2 linked regions of the Bombyx mori genome follow. The protein of the gene in region 2 binds, or shares a complex with, the protein of the main gene of each other region. Links are inferred from orthologs where the notes say so. Each region holds a gene or a part of one and is shown on either strand. Other genes may lie near its edges.

Evidence for each region.
Region 1: protein Red (region 2) and microfibrillar-associated protein 1 share a complex: the UniProt entries of both Homo sapiens proteins name them as parts of the spliceosome B complex. The link is inferred for Bombyx mori from reciprocal best matches to the Homo sapiens genes IK and MFAP1.

Annotation. Positions count from the first base shown.
Region 1 is NC_085127.1:8,420,711-8,423,280, forward strand, and holds part of microfibrillar-associated protein 1, read right to left. Parts: intron 2,047-2,570; coding exon 1,922-2,046; intron 441-1,921; coding exon 297-440; intron 149-296; coding exon 52-148; intron 1-51. UniProt on the Homo sapiens protein: Involved in pre-mRNA splicing as a component of the spliceosome.
Region 2 is NC_085122.1:6,721,836-6,725,497, reverse strand, and holds part of protein Red, read right to left. Parts: intron 3,601-3,662; coding exon 3,357-3,600; intron 2,417-3,356; coding exon 2,269-2,416; intron 1,316-2,268; coding exon 1,112-1,315; intron 1-1,111. UniProt on the Homo sapiens protein: Involved in pre-mRNA splicing as a component of the spliceosome. Auxiliary spliceosomal protein that regulates selection of alternative splice sites in a small set of target pre-mRNA species. Required for normal mitotic cell cycle progression.

The sequences.
Region 1 (2,570 bases), on a different chromosome or scaffold from region 2:
TTTACACTACTTTTACTTATTTTACTCTTGAAACTTATAGAAAATTTATACCTTTGGTAAAACTGTCTTGTCAAAATGATCATCCAGCGTAGGACCCGAGAAGTCCTGTTTGAAAACATCTTCTTCTTTATCCAAATAAAAGGCACCTCTAAAATTAGAAAATATAATCGTTATTAATTTTAATAGTTTTCACACTAAGCAAGTTTTTATGCTTCAAATTTTATGGTTAATAACTTTAATAATTTTCTTATTAAGCAAAATTATTTTTAATACAATTTTTAAAGTATGAATTTTACCTGTGATAATATTTCTGCAGAAACTTGTATTTTCCTTTGACTGCTTTATTTGTGACAACCTTTGGATTGATACGTTGTTCGAGGCGTCGCTCATCTTCGGTCATGTTGCGTAATCGTTCCAGAGTTAACATCTCTTTTTCGGCTCTGAAATAAAAATGAAAATGTTACACTGACTAAAAATCGACGGCCACTAAAATACATTAAAAATGTTTAATACTGACTAAAACTTTAGTCTCTTTAATATAACATTATTCGTTGTGAAACTTTAACATAGTTAATTTTATTAAAATTCCGAGACTGAATTCTTTAATCGTGCGATCTAAAAAATAAATTGTGATTTCAAATAACAATCACTGATAGAAAATCATTATCAGCTGCAGTCCTGACACGGGATTGACTAAATACATCAGCTGCAGTCTGAGATAATTTAGGCCAGAATAACATCTACGTGGATAAAATCTTAGCATATCTCAGCCTATCAGCATAACATCTACTTCACACAATCAAAACCCAAAACGTGGAACTCATATTTGAAATATGAGACGACTATTAATTTTAAAACAGAGTGAAGCATAAGTCTTGTACTAACTACATATGAGTCGTCTATTATCAAAGGCGGCAATCTGTACATTTGGACAAAAAATTTTTATTGATATGTCAATACAGATTTATTTGAATATAATCGTCTCCTTCAAAGAATACGGTTCAAAACCTGCATTAAATAAAGGTTAATAGTTAACCTGTTATTTATCTAAGATGTCGTTCCGAAGAGTTTTGTGACTGCCAATGGAATACAAAGTCAATAATTCGTTTTTCTGATTTACCAATCATTGTCCAAAAGTCAGATTGCCGGCTTTGATAATAGTCGACTCATATATACCATGGGTTAATAATAATACTCGGCAAATCTAAGGACCTCAGATTCTCACTTAGTAACTTAGCTTTTATTGCTCTAGCCAGGCACACTAGCTCTACCTACTGTAATGTTCAGAGAATACTGCTTCCCATCTTACAGTATATCTCTTAAAGGCCTTTGACGACATTGCGTATTGATGGTGAATACTGTTCTACCGTATAGCAGATACAGTTGAATTAACCTACAGTGTGCGCGCGAGTTCGTGTCCATCGGGGCCAGAGGTGACGCGCGGGGGGCAGCTCGCCCCGCCTCCGTCCGCCTCCCCGCGTTTGTCTGACGTTTAGTGTTGTCTTTGACAGTTGTGACGCGCGCTTATCGATATCAAAAATTTACGCTAACGCTATTGTGTTATTTCATGGTGAATAAACTACGACTACTTCGCTTCCAACAAGTTCAGGTAGAAAAAAACCTACACTGATTCGGACTCTGATCTGTCGGTTATCTTTTCATCTGATAGTAATTGAATTGGAATTTAAAAAATATTTTTCTCTATTAGAAATAAATAAGTAATTACTTACCACATTTATTTTATAATTTGCAAAATGACCTAGTTACAATAAACCAAATTGACAGCTATTGACTAAATCGGTAGTTATTATCGACACCATAATTAACTAGGTCACAGCACTACCGCATTCCTCAGGACGGACATGAACTCGCGCGCCTACTGTAGAAGAAAATAGCTTCCAAATGAATAATTTTAACTTACGCTTCCCTTTCTTCTTTATCTCGTTTGATACGTTTCATTTCACGCAACTTCCAAGCTTCATATTCCAGTTCGTCATTTTCATCATCTGTACATACATCATTTATATTCCCTTCTTTTTGTTCTCCCTAAAAGTATGTTTAAAAGATTGAAATTGTGAAGAATAAAAACAGTGTGAAAAATATTTGTTTTATTCGTAATTTCGCATCACTATTAATCAACGTTTTTATAAGAAAATATAAATCATCTAAAACTTCAGCAGTCAACAGACTATTGATGCATAATATACTTTTTTTTTATTGCCCTTGTAGGCATACCAGCATACGGCCCCCTTGATGAGTATTTACCGTCGCCCATGGACTGGGCCAGCAATGTCAGGGGCAGAACCCCGGCTGCTGCCTACTGAACCACCTGCCTTCTCCTAATACTTTGATATTAAGTGAAGCATCAATACACCACATTTATATACGTTCATATGTAAACAACATGTTTAAGACTTTATATACAAGGTTATGTTAGAGGAAGTCTGAAAGTGGCACCTGTGACAGAGAAGCTGAGGAGTGCACGTTTGGGATGGTATGGACATGTGATGAGACGGAATGAAAATGAGGTTGTTATGAGAGTGTTAACTATGAATGTGGAAGGATTTAGA
Region 2 (3,662 bases):
GGTCTCAGTATAGTTACAACGGCTACCCCACCCTTTAAACCGAAATGCATTACTGCTTCATGGCAGAAATAGGCAGGGTAGTGGTACCTACCCGTGTGGACTCACAAGAGGTCCTTCCACCAGTAAAAAATTATAGGGTCGCGTTACACTAGCTGTTACCAACGCCCTGAGAGAAGCCGAAAACCGAAGCAAATGGAAGCTGAGGGTACAAAGAGCCACGAAGAGCTTTCAAGGACACGACCTTCAGCAATGAAGTATTCGACTAAGAAGTAAGAAGTTACACTAACAGTAAAATCCTGATCGGAATGTACGTAGACCGCTCATCTATTAAAACTAATCTACACAGACCCATTGTATGTTGATGGTATTTAGGCTAAAACGTTTTTTGACTCAGCGCCTTAACAAATTGGATGAGAGACGCGCGAATATATAGATCGAAAGCAAATGTATACGTAAACATTAGTTTTTCTACATATGCCATGTTGTGAACAGAGATCCAGGAAGCAGATAGTTGTTATTGTTAAAAATACGGAGATTCAGTAAGTAAAAAGATAATCCTATAATGATAACGATTACAACACAACGATTAGCCACGTATGACGTCATACGTTGTGATTGAGTGTTAAAATTCTTTGGGCGTTGTTCGATTATATTTCTTTTATTCTATCAACAAAAACAATTACTAAACATCGTTCAGATTTAAATGAGCGTGCTTTTGTATGTCCTTTTTTTACTTCTATATAACTACTTATCTATCTATCTATATATATAAAAATTAATTGCTGTTCGTTAGTCTCGCTAAAACTCGAGAACGGCTGGACCTATTTGGCTAATTTTGATCTTGAATTATTCGTGGAAGTCCAGAGAAGGTTGAAAATGTGAATATATATGAAAATGCTCGATATTATATAAAAACAAACAACTTTGTTTTTCCTTTGATATGTCCCCTGTCGGATGGATTCCTTTTGTTTTGTTTTTATACAAATTAAGTTTATTTTATACAAAAGTTTAGGTTTTTTATTTATCGACTGAGGCACTACGAAGTCTGCCGGGTCAGCTAGTTACTTATATAGTTCTAGGGAAGCTATAGCAAGATTTATAAGGTTCATACCGATCGGTCCCTTCTTGTTCCCGGCGTCCATTTTGGTGTAGTCGACTTCATCGTCGGAGTCGTCTATGGCGTCGTCCATCTCCCTGAGGCCGGGGTAGCACTCGGCGTAGCCCTCGGGCTCAGCCGCCAGCTTGGACAGCAGCGCCGCGGAACGTTTGTCGCGCTCTTCGTTATTGCCTGTTGCTTGACGACGAGGGATCGGGCCTGCGGAATATAAACGAGGCTGTCAGAGCAGAAGTGGCCTAGGCTTACCATAGTTCACATGGAGATGATGCGGAAGAGAAGTGCCTCGTTATTGCGTCGAGTCCGTGACAGTGGCAACAGTCTTTTGAAAATCATATCGAGCAAGATCGAGGGGGACTGCTGATTAATAGCCTTTGCAGCAGGCAAATGAAAGGAAAAAATATATAAAAACGTATGTAATTATACTTATGTGTTAGATTTTTTAAGTTACTAACATAGATTATAAGTAATTCGTACTAACAAAATGTTATGGTTTAAAAAAAAAGGAAAGAAACTGCAATAAAGTAAGAGGTTGGAATTAACTTTTACACTGCTTTGTAGGCAAAAACAATACGCGCAAAAATAATATTTACAAATCCATCTGTTATCTATGTGTGAAACTATGGGTAGGCCGGTTTTGCATCAAAATGTATTTATGTTTTAAATAAATTGCAGTAGAGTATAAACACGAATATGAAAATTGCGGGTTAGGCGACTTCTGCGCTGACGGCCTTAAATATACATTATACTATTATTATCGTGTCCAGGCTCTCCCGCGACCTGGAAACAACGCTACACTATAAAAACGCGCCTTCGCTACGCCTTCGTCCCACCGACTGGACCAATTTGGTTAATTTTAGTTTTGAATTATTTGTGGAAGTCCAGAGAAGGTTTAAAAGGTAGATAAATATGAAAATGCTCGGAATTAAATAAAAATAACAATTTTGTTTTTTCTTTGATGTGTCCCCCGTCGGACGGATTCATTTTGTTTGTTTTAAGTTTATTTTATACAAAAGTTTAGGTCTTTTATTTATCGATTGAGGCACTACGAAGTCTGCCGGGTCAGCTAGTAATGACAATAAATAATTTTAATTTTAAATGTCAAGCGAAGCGGGCGAGTACGTCTAGTTGTTTATAAAAATCAAAATGGTTACCCTCTTCCTTCTCGGTTTCAACAGGCTTATCAAAGTATCCGGTTCGCGGCCTCTCCTCCCTCCTGTCGGAGCGGCGTTCTCCCGGCATGTAGTCACCAATCTCGCCGTATATAGAGTCGTCGTTACGACCCTTCTCCGTCGTCTTGTCCTGTTACAAAAGATTTCCTGATAAACAGTGTGAAGAAGTAATAGGGATTTCAGCCCTAAACACGTCATTACGTATCCTCCCGATCCATTAACGGTGCTTTTAGGTATTTCAAGCACTGGTCATCGTCTTCGTAGAGCCCCTCGCTTTCGACGAAGGGCTCGACGAGTAAATTAACCCATAGACACAGCCCACTGAGTTTCTTGCAGGATTTTCTTAGTGCGAAGATTCTGCGAAGTATTGCTCTTGGTAGGGCCAGTGTTAACAACACTCCCGATTTGAGCCCCGTGAGCTCACCCACACGTCAAGGAGAAGCTAAAATAGCCTCTCAAGGCTATCAGCATAGGTAGGAGAAAAAAGAAGGGATTTCGATTTATTTTCTTGTTTTAGTAAGCGCATCCAACGTAATACAATACCACTTATACGATGCAAGTATTTAAACTTATTTCAGTAAATAAGCATCGATTTATATCTACCTTGTTTTGTCCTAACTATACGCCGGTAGCCTAAGAGTCTATTCTAGCTACGTCCGGACGGGACGGGTAGGTGAGCTCACGGGCTCAACCTGAGAGAATTGCTAACCAGAGCAGTGGAGAATCTACTAGAAGATCAGAATTGCGACCCACTGAAATGATCAGGCGAGAAACTCAGTGGGTAATTGTGTTGTGGACGAGCTCACAGTCGACGTGGTGTTAAGTGGTTACTGGAGCCCATAGACATCTACAATGTAAATGCGCCACCCACCTTGAGAGTTCTAAGGTCTCAGTATAGTTATAACGACTGCCCCGCCTTTGAAACCGAAACGCATTACTGCTTCACGGCAGAAATAGGCAGGGTGGTGGTACCTACCCGTGCGGACTTACAAGAGGTCCTACCACCAGTAACTATTAATTGATGACTAATTTGGGTCGAAAAAACTGATATTAGTGAAAAAAAACGGAACCTTAGTCTTCTTCAGCTTCTTATGTCTTCCGTGCCTCAAATATGAGAAGATCTGAGTCAGTTTCTCGACGACAAGATCATTTGCACTCGAAGCCGAACTCCTTTCGTCCATTTCGGGAACGTCCGCTTTACTCCGAGTCAACGTTGTGGGTATATCGGAATCGATTGTGCCTTCTTCGTCGAGCTCGACCACGTACGCCATACGACCGGGAGCAAACATTTCGCTGCGGACAACTTTCTTGTTCCTGAAAAAGGCAGTCATCATTTTTTATAACACCAAACCCAATAACTCTTTAGTTTATATCAC